4 linked regions of the Saccharomyces cerevisiae S288C genome follow. The protein of the gene in region 2 binds, or shares a complex with, the protein of the main gene of each other region. Each region holds a gene or a part of one and is shown on either strand. Other genes may lie near its edges.

The links.
Region 1: MRPL39 (region 2) and RML2 share a complex: the UniProt entries of both Saccharomyces cerevisiae proteins name them as parts of the mitochondrial large ribosomal subunit.
Region 3: MRPL39 (region 2) and MRP49 share a complex: the UniProt entries of both Saccharomyces cerevisiae proteins name them as parts of the mitochondrial large ribosomal subunit.
Region 4: MRPL39 (region 2) and MRP7 share a complex: the UniProt entries of both Saccharomyces cerevisiae proteins name them as parts of the mitochondrial large ribosomal subunit.

What each region holds. Positions count from the first base shown.
Region 1 is NC_001137.3:58,998-63,135, forward strand, and holds RML2 (mitochondrial 54S ribosomal protein uL2m RML2), read right to left. Parts: upstream 1,855-4,138; coding exon 673-1,854; downstream 1-672. Other genes in the region: VMA8 (H(+)-transporting V1 sector ATPase subunit D), read left to right, coding at 1-151. UniProt on the Saccharomyces cerevisiae protein: Component of the mitochondrial ribosome (mitoribosome), a dedicated translation machinery responsible for the synthesis of mitochondrial genome-encoded proteins, including at least some of the essential transmembrane subunits of the mitochondrial respiratory chain.
Region 2 is NC_001145.3:250,488-253,686, forward strand, and holds MRPL39 (mitochondrial 54S ribosomal protein bL33m MRPL39), read right to left. Parts: upstream 1,030-3,199; coding exon 817-1,029; downstream 1-816. Other genes in the region: transcription elongation factor SPT5, read left to right, coding at 1-381; ERG6 (sterol 24-C-methyltransferase), read right to left, coding at 1,352-2,503; MIN4 (Min4p), read right to left, coding at 2,675-2,785. UniProt on the Saccharomyces cerevisiae protein: Component of the mitochondrial ribosome (mitoribosome), a dedicated translation machinery responsible for the synthesis of mitochondrial genome-encoded proteins, including at least some of the essential transmembrane subunits of the mitochondrial respiratory chain.
Region 3 is NC_001143.9:132,786-136,226, reverse strand, and holds MRP49 (mitochondrial 54S ribosomal protein mL61 MRP49), read left to right. Parts: upstream 1-2,092; coding exon 2,093-2,506; downstream 2,507-3,441. Other genes in the region: cAMP-dependent protein kinase catalytic subunit TPK3, read left to right, coding at 522-1,718; putative serine/threonine protein kinase KKQ8, read left to right, coding at 2,765-3,441. UniProt on the Saccharomyces cerevisiae protein: Component of the mitochondrial ribosome (mitoribosome), a dedicated translation machinery responsible for the synthesis of mitochondrial genome-encoded proteins, including at least some of the essential transmembrane subunits of the mitochondrial respiratory chain.
Region 4 is NC_001146.8:620,345-624,560, forward strand, and holds MRP7 (mitochondrial 54S ribosomal protein bL27m MRP7), read right to left. Parts: upstream 2,085-4,216; coding exon 969-2,084; downstream 1-968. Other genes in the region: TOR complex subunit LST8, read left to right, coding at 1-634; HRB1 (mRNA-binding protein), read left to right, coding at 2,571-2,600, 2,943-4,216. UniProt on the Saccharomyces cerevisiae protein: Component of the mitochondrial ribosome (mitoribosome), a dedicated translation machinery responsible for the synthesis of mitochondrial genome-encoded proteins, including at least some of the essential transmembrane subunits of the mitochondrial respiratory chain.

The sequences.
Region 1 (4,138 bases), on a different chromosome or scaffold from region 2:
AGAAAAGAAGCAAAATGAGACTGCAAAATTGGATGCTGAGATGAAATTGAAGAGAGATAGAGCAGAACAAGATGCTTCAGAAGTAGCTGCTGATGAGGAACCTCAAGGTGAAACATTGGTTGCTGATCAAGAAGACGATGTTATATTCTGAAGTTTCAGGCAGAACAAGACCCTTTTCAAAAATATGTAAGCCATTATTAAAAAAAAGGATATTTTGTATAATTGTTTAATAAAATAACATCTTTTTAAACAATCATAAATAGCACTTCTTATCATACAACCTCAAATCATATCGGTCCAAATTTGCTCAAATTGTACATGAGATATAACTTTTTCTTCTAATGCTTTCATTTCAGAGTTTGTTTTTTTTTTTTCTTTTTTTTTTTTTTCCTTACCGGAGTCTGAATCTCTTACTTCCTTAACTTAGATGTTAGTGACTAAAATCTGATGGACAGTATCAAAATGTAAATATTGTACCTAAAAAGAAAAAAGTATTAAAGTGGTTTGCCATAAATTTTAAACAAGTGAAAAGTTTCAATATTTATATTTACATGATTGTGGACAAGCGGCATTGTCTACAGGCTGTGCAAAATTATATAGTACAGATAAATGTAACCAGAACAACGAAGAAAAGGTCCCTATGTTGCTTCTTTTCTACTAAAATTAGCCTATTTATAATCTTGCATCTTTGCCTCTTGGTCTGTCTTTTACTTTCATTCTATTTTGATTTTTACCCCTTCTAGTCTTGTACCCCTTTGCCAGTTGTCCCCATGGAGACATTGATAATTTATTAGACTTGGATTTACCACGGCCACCACCGTGAGGATGGTCACATTTATTCATGGCAACACCTCTAACAGTGGGTCTTATCCCTAACCATCTTGATCTGCCGGCTTTACCAAGAGATCTGTTTTGATGGTCAATATTGGAGACCACGCCAATGGTAGCGACAGCCTCTAAAGACACATAACGATGTTCACCGCTTTGTAATCTAACAATAGCTTTCTTTTTTTCAGGTAATTTCGCAAGGACTCTGGCATATGTACCAGCAGAGCGACAAAATTTTCCAGGTCCAACGGGTGTTATGCCAACGTTGTGAATAATAGTACCTATGGGGATCATGGAAATAGGTAGACAGTTGCCTCTTTGGGTAGTCTTAACACTCAAGATAGCAGGGTCTACTTTCCCGCCCATTTCATTCAGTAAAGTTTGAGGAATACCTCTTCTGAAGGATTCGACCACATCGCCTGGGCGTAACCCATCACAAGCAATAATATAAGACAATTCGCCGGTAGTATTATGCTTCAATAGGGCGATATGAGAGGATCTACCCGGATCGTACTCAATCCTTTGCACCGTTTGTGCACCACCTTCCCATCTGTTAAAGTCTATCAGCCTCGTTCTATTTCTATGGCCACCACCTTGGTGACGGACAGTGATTTTTCCTGAATTATTTCTACCACCGTGCTTCTTTCGAACAACAGTTAGGGCTCTAACCGGACGACCTTTGTACAAATATGGATAAATGGGGGAACGGTACCATCTCAAACCAGGTGAGACGGGTTTTAGCCTCTTCATCTGGGTCACTTCTTTCGAAAGTTTACGACGTCTTTTAATCAATTCATCCTGCTTCTCAAGAGTCACGATATCAGTATCGTTAGGTATAATCTTTAGTAATCGTGGAGTAATGTTCAAACTGGAGTCATCTTTTGAAGTATTCTCTTGCCACAATTTAACACTCTGAGATAGAGTTCGACAGAGTATACCGTATGGATAACAAGGGTTTCTCTTACTAATAAGCGATGCTGTGGAACTGCACGACAGCGCCGATCTAAGAGACCCTAGCACCAACATCTTTCATAAACACTTAAATTATCTTCTCTGCGTATTTCTGGACTAGTTTACAACGTTCTCTTTTGCTTAGTTAGAACTCGCTTTCAGTTTCCCATACGTTCCCTTTCTCTTTCAATTATAGGTTCAAGCCCTAACTTTCCACCTCGCGTAGTCTTTTTTTTGCATGGAAAATTTTTTTTGAGTATTTAAAGAACAGAGGTTCTATTCAAATTTAACCGTAGAATATACTTATTCATCTTAAATACCAAGCGCTTCAACCTGTACGTGGATGGTAACATATAGATATTTCTATAGAATGTGTTAAGGAACAGGAGTTCCTGACAAACAAAAATAGATCGTACTAATACTTTTTTTTTCGAACTATACTGTTTGCGTATGCTTATAAAGCCAAGAGGGGGATGTTTGTGTATTACTTTCTTTACTTTTTTCTCTTCTGCATTATTGTTCCTTTAGAGATGATAAAGACAACTTACAAGTACAGTTTTTTGTTGGTATCTCATTAACATGATGACTAAGTTGTCGCCCCAAGCGGATCTTTGAAATGACTGATTTTACAAACAACAAACACTGAAAATTCTGAAATTAATGAGATATTTACACATTAAACATCAAAAGTTTTCTCAAGGAACATGTATTTAATGCAAGAAAAGGATTGCTGAAGAAAGGAATCTTTTCTCAAACATTTTACCTCTTTTGCCTCATTTGTACACAGCGGTACGGTTGGATTAAGAAAAATATCCATTCGACCTAGTTTTTTTTGTTAAGCACAATTTGGTTTCAATATCAATTCTTACTGTTATATAAAAAATTGTCTTAATTGCCATTATCACTCCTCTTTTTTTTTTTTTTTGATGATGATTACACTCCATGCTAATCATGAACGTGTTCGATGTAAATTTGAATACGATGATTAAAATTGTTGTTTACGCTTTCTGAAATCTAAACTAGAAAAGAAAAGGAACTATCAAAGAATTAGGCTCTTCGTATTGGAATTAGTTGACAGTTGCTCATGAAATGAATGGATTAAAAAAATAAAGCTGCGCAAGCCCGGAATCGAACCGGGGGCCCAACGATGGCAACGTTGGATTTTACCACTAAACCACTTGCGCTTACTATTTGTTGTTATTCAAAAAATAAAGAACCCACAGAACATAGATTAGAACATAACCTTGGAGTATCAACTTGATTCACAAAATATTATTCGTCGTATATCATGGCATATAGAATCTTGCTGGAATAAGAAGCAAGTTTCATCTTTGATCTTATGTATATAGTATTAATATGTATTATTGTTGGAATAAAGATCAACTATCATCTACTAACTAGTATTTACGTTACTAGTATATTATCATATACGGTGTTAGAAGATGACGCAAATGATGAGAAATAGTCATCTAAATTAGTGGAAGCTGAAACGCAAGGATTGATAATGTAATAGGATCAATGAATATTAACATATAAAATGATGATAATAATATTTATAGAATTGTGTAGAATTGCAGATTCCCTTTTATGGATTCCTAAATCCTCGAGGAGAACTTCTAGTACATTCTACATACCTAATATTATTGCCTTATTAAAAATGGAATCCCAACAATTATCTCAAAATTCACCCACTCTTCAATTATCATATAGGACAGAATTAGTTGACAAAAAGTACGATGGGAAACAGCTATCAAATTTAAAGGAAGCTGAAATGCAAGAATTAATAATGTAATAGGGTAGCGAACGACAAAGTATAAAAGGAAGGAGGATGAAGTTACATAATTATGTAGCACTATCGACTTCCTTTTGGGCATTTCTATAATCTCGAGGAAATCTTCTAGTATATCCTGTATACCTAATATTATTGCCTTCAACACAGACGGAATCCCAACAATTATCTCAAAATTCACCCATTTTTCACTCTCAAATCTGAATCTAAGTAAATAGTGGCAGTGAAATCCGGATCAAAATTCAGTAACTTTTGTGATATCTCACATTGACATACCACGGTCGGAGGTGAATTTCTTCACCATTAACATATAATATGATCATCTATGTAAATTTTATTGCTGTTATTCTATTAGTAGTAATGATCGAAAATAGTAGAGGTATCAACGAGGTCAATGGATCAAAGAATGCCTTGAACCTGGTTAGTCTATAAATTTTCGTTTACCTACGTATGTCATATTCAACGTTCTTTCTTTCTCAATTTCTGCAATGATCCCACCGGAGTATATGAACGAACTATTTTATCATTATAGCTAGCTCTAAACGGCTGCAAAAACTAATTCCTTGAAAC
Region 2 (3,199 bases):
ACTTGGGGTGGCCAAGGTAATGGAGGTGCATCCGCTTGGGGCGGTGCTGGCGGCGGTGCCTCAGCTTGGGGCGGCCAAGGTACTGGTGCTACTTCTACTTGGGGTGGTGCTTCAGCCTGGGGTAACAAATCAAGTTGGGGCGGTGCATCCACTTGGGCGTCGGGTGGTGAATCTAATGGTGCCATGTCTACTTGGGGTGGTACCGGTGATAGGTCAGCCTACGGCGGGGCTTCCACCTGGGGAGGAAATAACAATAATAAAAGTACAAGAGATGGCGGAGCTTCTGCATGGGGTAACCAAGACGATGGAAATAGGTCTGCTTGGAACAACCAAGGAAATAAGTCAAACTATGGTGGTAACAGTACATGGGGAGGTCATTAATCACCAAAAGGAGAACCAATATCACCCAAGAAGAAATCAATAAAAAAGACTTTAATATTACCACGTTAATAAGAATAGTTATGAAGATTTCGATGTTTCGATGAAATACTGAATCTCGATCTTTTTTTTTCATTTATGCTTGCATTTGTATGTCACGAGTTTTCCTTGATTCTAACTTTTACATATACGTATGTATGTATGTATGCATATGTGTTTTTGCATATCTAAATGAAATATCAACTTTATTATGAGGGAGTTGATTATTGTAATGTAATTTTATATAACTTCTTTTTCGTTAGCGGAATTTCTTTCCGTTTGAATCGTATACAAAATGTATGTATCCATTACTTATTTACAGGATAAATGAAAAAAAATGCGTAACGTCTGCGTATTCGATGGGCTTACATGCCGGGGCTCGTGCTTATTCATATTTCTTCACTTGGCTGTACGCAAGAAATCCAATGGCTTTCTTTCTGCCACTTTCCTTTTCTTTGCTTCTTTGAAAAGCACATGCCGTTTCACCACAGGATCGTATCTGACCTGAGTAACCAAAGGTGCACCTTTCTTAATCGAGATGTAACGAGAGTATCCACTTGCCGCTGTAGACAATAGCTTTATAACACTATTCTTAGATTTCACTTTTACCATATCGGCACATAAATATGGAAACAGTTACGATGTTGTATTCTTACTATCTTCCGCTGTAGGGGAGCAGTCAATACGTTTGTATGCAGTGAATTATAGTTTTTTCTTATTCTGATAGAAAATACTGGTCGTTTGCCACGACATGATGAAAAAAAAAAAAGCCGAACTTGAAAATCACAAGTGGGATAAATTGTGGGGTAGTAAAGGCATCGGACAGTCTGTTTGTAAGGCCTGCTAGCAATGAACGTGCTATCTTTTTATCTGCATATATAGGAAAATAGGTATATATCGTGCGCTTTATTTGAATCTTATTGATCTAGTGAATTTATTGAGTTGCTTCTTGGGAAGTTTGGGAGGGGGTTTCGGCGTTTTCTGGCTTCCTAGCGACGAAAAGCATCATTGGAGTGAATAACTTGGACTTACCACCGGCAACTAAACCAACCGCAGCATTTTCTAGAGCAGCAGTAACTTCCTTGGAACCTTCTGGGGCTAGACCTAATTTTTCCATTACAGTAACCATTGCTGTAGTAAATTGTCTACCCAAGTAAGAAGTTCTGAAAAATGTGGCCAAATTAGCTAAGTTTTGAACGTACTTCCACTCACCAGTTAATGGGTAATACCAAGGGATTTCATCATCATTGTCCGCCAGGTCTTCGCTAACGAGGACTTCGAAACCACAGTTCTTCAATGCTTTCCTAGCCACGTCGACATGGAACATCTTTGGGATACCATCACCTAGTTCAATTTCATAAGCGATCTTTCTATGTTCAGGATTGTTTTCGTCATATTTATCAGTCATTACCCATTCGTAAACAGCAAAGGTACCACCCGGTTTCAAAACCTTGTAGATTTCGCTGTATACACCTTCTAATTTTGGAGCGTGACATGTGGCCTCAATTGCATAAACTTTGTCGAAAGTGTTTTCTTCGAAATCCATTTTCATGAAATCACCCTTTACAAAGTCCATTTGGTCACTCAAATTGTATTTTTTAGCGTAATATTTTGCCTTGGCAATTTGGTAATCGTTATTGTTTAGACCGATGACGTTACAACCGGTAAATCTTGCAATCTCTCTTGCTGGGCCCCCAACACCACAACCAACGTCGAGAACTAAATCGCCTCTTTGAATACCAGCCTTGTAAGCTAAATAATGTTCATGTCTTGCTATCGAGGCAGCGAAACTCTCACCTTTATAAAATCTGCTGAAATGGAAAGAGGAACCCCAACCATATTCATAGAAATCTGTAACGACGTTATAGTAGGAATGTGTGGCTTCATTATAATCCTCAAGACGACGTTCTTCGGCATCTTTATCGGTTCTACCATCCCAATTTCTCAAGTACTTCTGAACGGCTTCCTTTTGGGCAGAGTTGTTCTTCGACATCAATGCACTCAAACCTGTCTTTTTACCAATATCATCACCATGTAACTCCCTAGTGAATTGGGCCTGTCTTTTTCTCAATTCTGTTTCACTCATCTTATGCTGCCTACTATATTATTATTTTATTCTTGTTTTTTTAAATTATGTAAAACTTAAATCGAAAGTAAAACAGATAAGGGAAACTTGAATGAAAATTAACAGCTTATAAATTACAAAGACGAATGGAAAGAAAAAGAGAGCAGCAGAGGATAGGAGAAAACACCCGAACTATATAAAAAGCAATGAAGAAGTTATCGGCAACAGCAAGTATTGGAGGTTTCTCACCAATCTTCGCATAAAACGCATGCTTCGTAAGGCGATAAAAATGAAGTGTACCATTGAGACGAAGTGGAGCAGTTTACAGTGAATAATACATTGTCTGCTCCTCACTTACTCTCGCTTCTCGAAAACTTTTTTGTATTTATCGGAAACGGCAGTAAACGACGCCAAAAATTGAAAATAAGTACGGGAACGAGGTACCATATACGAAGATCGGGGCTTTGTTCGGCCCTAAATTTTGCTGATCTTACCCTGTTGCATCTTTTCAAAAATAGTAACCAGCCCTAGCTGTTTGGTTGATTTGACCTAGGTTACTCTTTTCTTTTTCTGGGTGCGGGTAACAATTTGGGCCCCGCCAAAGCGCCGTCTTTGTCATGGGAACCGGAAACCCTCCGATGAAGAGTAGGAGGGTGGCAACTGATGGATGCGTAAGGTCTTAAGAGATACATTTGCTTAATAGTCTTCCGTTTACCG
Region 3 (3,441 bases), on a different chromosome or scaffold from region 2:
CGTCAACGTTTCAGATACTCTCTGGTGCGCAAAAATGCGTTTATTTCAAGCCAAGTTGCAATCTTTATCAAAACTTGATATACATTAAAATACTCACTAATATATATATATATATATATATATGTACATATACATATATAGATTTATATGACGTTTCCGACGCATACTGGTGAACCACTTTCTTTTTAGTGAATAGCCTCATTATGCAGTTTCCGGTATTTTTTTTCCGTTGCTTCAGCTACGGGATTTCTTCGATGCCATTGAAAAATAAAGTTGTGTTCAATGAGAATATGGAAAGAAAAGACACTTTTTACCAGCTGATCTTAAAAGTTTTGTCTGCTTTATTACTTCTATCGGTAAGAAACTCGAGTGGACATACGAGACACTTTGTGCAGTCGTCGGAGAAAATTTATAGGCGATCACTCTTTAAGCAATAAGAAAGTTTCACGTATATTATTGAATAATACATTAATCATATTGTATATCGGTGGTTGTACAAGGAAAGAGCGAGCCTGCACAAAATGTATGTTGATCCGATGAACAACAATGAAATCAGGAAATTAAGCATTACTGCCAAGACAGAAACAACTCCAGATAACGTTGGACAAGACATTCCTGTAAACGCACATTCGGTGCATGAGGAATGTTCTTCCAACACACCCGTGGAGATAAATGGAAGAAACAGCGGAAAGTTGAAAGAAGAAGCGTCTGCAGGTATTTGTTTGGTTAAAAAACCAATGCTACAATATAGAGATACCTCAGGAAAGTATTCCCTAAGTGACTTTCAGATTTTAAGAACTTTGGGAACTGGCTCATTTGGGAGAGTTCACCTAATTCGTTCCAATCACAATGGGAGGTTTTACGCTTTGAAGACATTGAAAAAGCACACTATAGTGAAGCTGAAGCAGGTTGAACACACCAATGACGAACGCCGAATGCTTTCAATTGTTTCACATCCATTCATCATTCGAATGTGGGGAACGTTCCAAGATTCTCAGCAAGTTTTCATGGTAATGGACTACATTGAAGGTGGTGAATTATTTTCTTTACTACGTAAATCTCAAAGATTTCCCAACCCAGTAGCCAAATTTTATGCCGCAGAGGTATGCTTAGCGTTGGAATATTTGCACAGTAAGGATATAATATATAGAGACTTGAAACCAGAAAATATCCTTCTAGATAAAAACGGCCATATCAAGATAACCGACTTTGGCTTCGCAAAATACGTTCCCGATGTCACATACACATTATGTGGCACACCAGATTACATAGCGCCGGAAGTGGTCAGTACAAAACCGTATAATAAATCAGTGGATTGGTGGAGTTTTGGTGTGCTAATCTATGAAATGCTTGCCGGATACACTCCATTTTACAATTCGAACACCATGAAAACTTACGAAAATATACTGAACGCCGAATTGAAGTTCCCACCATTTTTCCATCCAGACGCGCAGGACTTATTGAAGAAGCTAATTACCAGAGACTTAAGTGAAAGGTTGGGTAACTTACAAAATGGAAGTGAAGATGTCAAGAACCATCCGTGGTTTAACGAAGTGATATGGGAGAAATTGTTAGCAAGATACATAGAAACGCCGTACGAACCACCAATCCAACAGGGCCAAGGTGACACTTCTCAATTTGACAGATACCCTGAAGAGGAATTCAACTATGGAATTCAAGGGGAGGATCCATATATGGATTTAATGAAAGAATTTTAAGGAGGTTCAGTGGGATAATTGTAATTGAAAAAAAAAAAAAATCAATAAAAGTAAAAACAAGAACAAGAAAAAGCACAAACAAACCTGGTTATAGATTCTTGGTGAGTCTAACAGGGCCATGATAAAAAAGTGACACATGCATATATGTACATGTATATATCTACGTACGTCTATTCAATAGAGGTGTATACAGATAAATAAAGGAGCATTCATATACGCCATATTGTGACTACATTTGCGTCCTCAGAAGACTGGGACGTTCAAAGTGATCTAGGACTTTTCACCCAGGGAAAACAGGATATCTGTAAGAATCGGCCATAAAACTCATTAATAGAAGAACAGTATAACATAAGTGAGCCTGCTACAATAAGAAGATGTCTAAGGTTGCACAACAGTTAAAATTTTTGAATAAAATTAGCGCCACTACCAGACTACCGCAGATTCTAGTCGATCCTAAAAAATACTCAGGTCTTAGATTGACTTTTCAAACGAAAAACCACAATGGACATATGGGTGCCAGAGTTTTTTGGCATAACTACCTACCCACTTTGCAGTTCTATAATCCAAGAATGAAGTTTGACGTGATAAGGATAAAGAACGAAGACAAGCAAAAAAGCGTTCCATGCAAACTGGAGATTTTATCTCATGAAGGCTCCGTTGTAGAGACTATTGATATGCGTAATAAAATGCATGAAGATATAATGAAAGACTTACTTGACAAAATAGAGCACGTTCCTCTTCCTGAAAATGAGATCATAAGAGTTGGACCGCAAGAAAGTATTATATAAGCTTTCTCTCGATAAGTTTGTTCATGTATATATCAAAAAACATTGCCCTTCATGGAAATATGTAAATTCAAAACTCACTTATGGGGCATATAAGTATATAATTTAGAGTACAATAAGTAGGATTGTGCTGAATATTGTCAGCCCTTGGGTCCCTTTTTTTGCCCTCCGCGTATTTCTTGTGGAAAATAAGGAAATTTCATTTTCACTTCAACTAGCTAGTTTAATTGCATGATGGACTCAAAAACATTGACAGCATCAATGGTAATGCAGGAGGAGAAGAAGCGGCAACAACCTGTGACAAGAAGAGTAAGGTCATTTTCTGAGTCCTTTAAAAACCTTTTCAGGCCGCCTCGTTCAAGAGATTCAAGTCCTATTAATGTCACCCGAATTCCTTATCGATCGTCTTCTACCTCACCCAAGAGAAGCTCTGAGCCACCAAGACGATCAACCGTATCCGCACAAATTTTAGATCCAAAAAATTCTCCAATACGCCAGCGTAGTTATACATTGAAGTGTTGCACCCCGGGCCTGTCACATCCATTTAGACAGACAGGAAGTGGTGCTAGTAATAGTCCTACCAGACATCGCTCTATATCTGGGGAAGAACAGGAAATTGTTAACAGTTTACCAGAATACAAAAGATCTGCTTCTCATACTTTTCATGGCATACGGCGTCCACGTTCAAGAAGTTCATCTGTTTCGTCATGTGACAGTTCAAATGGAACGACAAGTTCATCAGACAGTCAATGGGCTATGGATTCTTTACTAGATGATTCAGACAATGACCTCACACCTTATCGTGGCTCGAACAAAGATATACTGAAAAGTAAAGACCGGGCGCCGTATAATTACATAGATGACTACAATAAGAAGGCTTTACGCAGAGCAACATCATATCCAAATCCTCTCCCCTCCAAGCAATTCTATAATGAAAG
Region 4 (4,216 bases), on a different chromosome or scaffold from region 2:
TAGCGAAGATGGGACCATTAAAGTTTGGGATGTGCGTTCTCCGTCCATTCCTAGAAATTACAAACATAACGCACCAGTAAATGAAGTCGTAATTCATCCTAACCAAGGCGAGTTGATATCTTGTGATAGAGATGGTAATATAAGAATTTGGGACTTAGGAGAAAATCAGTGTACCCATCAATTGACACCTGAGGACGATACCTCTCTCCAGTCTTTATCTATGGCAAGTGATGGTTCGATGTTAGCGGCAGCAAATACTAAAGGTAATTGTTACGTATGGGAAATGCCAAATCATACTGACGCATCCCATCTAAAACCGGTAACAAAATTCAGAGCGCACTCCACATATATAACTAGAATTCTACTATCATCTGATGTAAAACATTTGGCAACATGTTCAGCGGATCACACTGCTCGTGTGTGGTCGATTGATGATGATTTTAAGCTAGAAACGACATTGGATGGCCACCAAAGGTGGGTTTGGGATTGCGCATTTAGTGCTGACAGTGCGTATCTAGTAACGGCATCGTCCGATCATTACGTGAGATTATGGGATTTATCAACTAGAGAAATTGTCAGACAGTACGGTGGACACCACAAGGGAGCTGTATGTGTCGCATTAAACGATGTATAGTTTACAATTTATCAACTACCAAGCTTGAAGGACCGAAGTGACAAAAAACATTATGATTTTCAGTGTTTGCTTATCCGCCTTTTTGTAAATATAGATTTTACTATCCTGTGCATTTTAGTTAATTGATTGTTCACAAAATGAAAGCAATCGCGATGCATATCATCAATGAAAGGAAGACGAGAATGTACAGTATAAACATATTCCCTTGCATGTAGCACTAAATTTTAAGTTTCGTGTAGACGAAAGGTTTAGCTACTTGCGCGACAAAATAGTAATATTTACAGGCATTCTTAAACATTTTATATGTGTACATACTGTGCGTAAGGAAAGAAAATCAAAGCTTGCTCAAAAAAGCCCGCCTACTTCTAGCAATGACTTCAACTTTATTTTTGGTGTAATCAAAACGTCTAGACACAATTGACTTCTTCCCGCTTTTGGTTTCAACCGTACTATCTGTTTCGGGGAAGACCGACTTTAAGTATTTCCTACGCAAATGTACTTCTTCAGATAAAGTCAAAAAATTACAAGCGTCCTTGAAAAGCGCCTTAATATAATTCTTGTCTTTTTTGGTTTCTAAGTGTTGGGATTTTTCTAGGTCCTCTAATAGTTTTGCCTTCAAAGCTTGTTTTTCTTGTTCCGAAATATACTGGTGTAGCTCTAGCTTGTTATTGAAAGATGTAGATGAGTTCAAAAGATCACTACACTCATCAATCTTGGATAGACTCTCCGACAATTTCTCATTCGTCCAGCTTTCTCTCCTTGCCTTCAAACGCTCTTCTTCTTTTAAATAATATCTACTATTGAACCTTGCATCTTCTATGGGGTATCCATTCTTCAGGGAAGCCCTTACACGAATTAAGTATGACGTTGCCAATTCGATGTCTTTTATATCTAACTTAAGTTCATCCCGAAGAACCTTACTCAACTTGTCTTGTAACTCCTTTCTTTTAGATTCCCTGACCTCTAACTGCTTCAAAATATTAGGTTTTGCGAGATAGTCTTTTCTAGAAATAGAATTTTCTTCCTTATATGCTGCCCTTTTATTTGTTAACTCAAAACGGCCAAACCTCCTTACGGTAGGCTCAAAATGAGGAGATGGCAGTTTCAAATCACGCCTCAAGGCAACACCAATGAATTTTCTTTTAGGATGAAAAGGATCAAGATAGTAACGAACAACACCAGGTTCTAAGGCGAATATGGAATGATCTTTCCCTATACCAACGTTTTCTCCAGGATAAAACTTTGTTCCTCTTTGCCTCATAATAATTTCACCTGTGGAAACATCCTGGCCTTCATATTTTTTTGGTCCTAACCTTCTTCCTGCAGAATCCTTCATACTTGTTCTCGAGCCCGCAGCCCTTTTGGTGGCATTACGCACTTGAAGGAACACACCAGACACATGTTTTTGGAATGAAAAACTAGAAGTATCTAGTAAAATAGGATTCCACATATTCTCACCTTAGGTTAAGCTTGAAATATTATGACCACCCAAACTGGCGAGTTTTATTTTTACAATGAGCCAACTTCATTCTTCAGTGAACTATCTTGAATGAGTCTCCAAAGAAAGAGCTTTAAAATTCAATAGCGGAACGTCAGATATCGAAACACCCAGTCATAACAGCCAAATTTGCATAATTGGTATAAAAACAGTGTGTATAACATTACAGAGAAGCCGTTGTGTGAAAATCTTTTTAGTACCTATTCAACCAAACAATTGAACTTGAACACCAAACTCTAGCCATCCTTATCCTCTTCTGGTCACTACATATACCTCAATTTACGTCTTTCCTTGGGTCGTTTCAAATGACTCTCTTTGTTTAGCGAGGGAAATGAAAAAGTAGAGTACTGGCTGAAAAATTTCATAATTATGTTTGCTCATGAGTTCGAAAACAGTTTGAATGAGCAGATAGAACGCCAAATATTAAGTTAACAGGATATGTCTGATCAAGAACGAGGTTCAGAAAACGTATGTTTCATTGATAAGGGAGGTGAAGAAAAGTTTGTAAAATGAGACTTTATGAGGTCATTGGAATTAAATAGACATCAACGAATGGTGAGTCACCATTTAATGCTGCCTTCAAAACGCTTGCTTCAATGTGATTCCACTGGTTAAAGGGGGTTTTTTGAATGCATTGCTAATGTTTATCTACTGGCTATGAAAGTGAGAATATCAATTATAAATAAAACCCTGATTTTCTACCTGCCATGCTATAATGTACAGTTTATTCCAACTTTGAAACGCAATGACTTATTGGTCTCTCTCATTATGAAATTTAGTTACTTTTACTAATGTTATTCATTGTTGTAGAATAATCGAAGTAGATCGAGGTCGAGATCACCTGTTCGTCGTCGGATGAGTGATGATCATGGTTATGAAAGAGACAACCATTTGTCCCGGAGGTCAGGTAATTATAACGGTAGGCGTAAGTTCGCAGATACGTACAGAGGAAGCAGAGATAGAGGAGAATATAGAGGAGGTAGAGAAAGGTCTGATTACAGAGAAAGAGAAAGGTTCAATAACAGAGATAATCCTAGATCTAGAGACCGTTACGATGATAGGCGCAGAGGAAGAGATGTGACTGGTCGTTATGGGAACAGACGTGATGACTATCCTAGAAGCTTTAGGAGTAGACACAATACACGTGATGACAGTAGGAGAGGCGGTTTTGGTAGTAGTGGAGCAAGAGGTGATTACGGTCCTTTGTTGGCACGTGAATTGGATAGTACATACGAAGAAAAGGTCAATAGAAACTATTCCAATAGTATATTCGTGGGTAATTTAACATATGACAGCACCCCCGAAGATCTCACTGAGTTTTTTTCACAGATAGGAAAAGTAGTCCGCGCGGATATAATTACATCAAGAGGGCACCACAGAGGTATGGGTACAGTAGAGTTCACTAATTCGGATGATGTTGACAGGGCCATCCGCCAGTACGATGGGGCCTTCTTCATGGATCGTAAAATCTTCGTCAGGCAAGATAATCCACCACCGTCAAACAATATCAAGGAAAGGAAAGCACTCGATAGAGGAGAGCTTAGACATAACCGAAAAACACATGAAGTTATTGTAAAAAATTTACCTGCTTCCGTTAATTGGCAGGCTTTGAAAGACATATTCAAGGAATGTGGGAATGTCGCACACGCTGATGTGGAATTGGATGGCGATGGAGTATCCACTGGATCTGGTACGGTGTCCTTTTATGATATTAAAGATCTGCATAGAGCGATTGAGAAATACAACGGTTATAGTATAGAGGGTAACGTCTTGGATGTCAAGTCTAAGGAAAGCGTACATAACCACAGTGATGGAGACGATGTTGATATCCCAATGGATGATTCTCCCGTTAACGAAGAAGCTCGAAAATTTACCGAAAACGTTGTCGGTGGAGGTGAAAGAAATAGACTCATATATTGCAGTAATTTGCCATTTTCAACTGCAAAAAGTGATCTTTACGACCTTTTCGAGACAATCGGAAAGGTTAACAATGCTGAATTAAGGTATGATTCCAAAGGGGCACCAACTGGAATAGCTGTCGTTGAATACGATAACGTCGATGATGCAGATGTTTGTATTGAAAG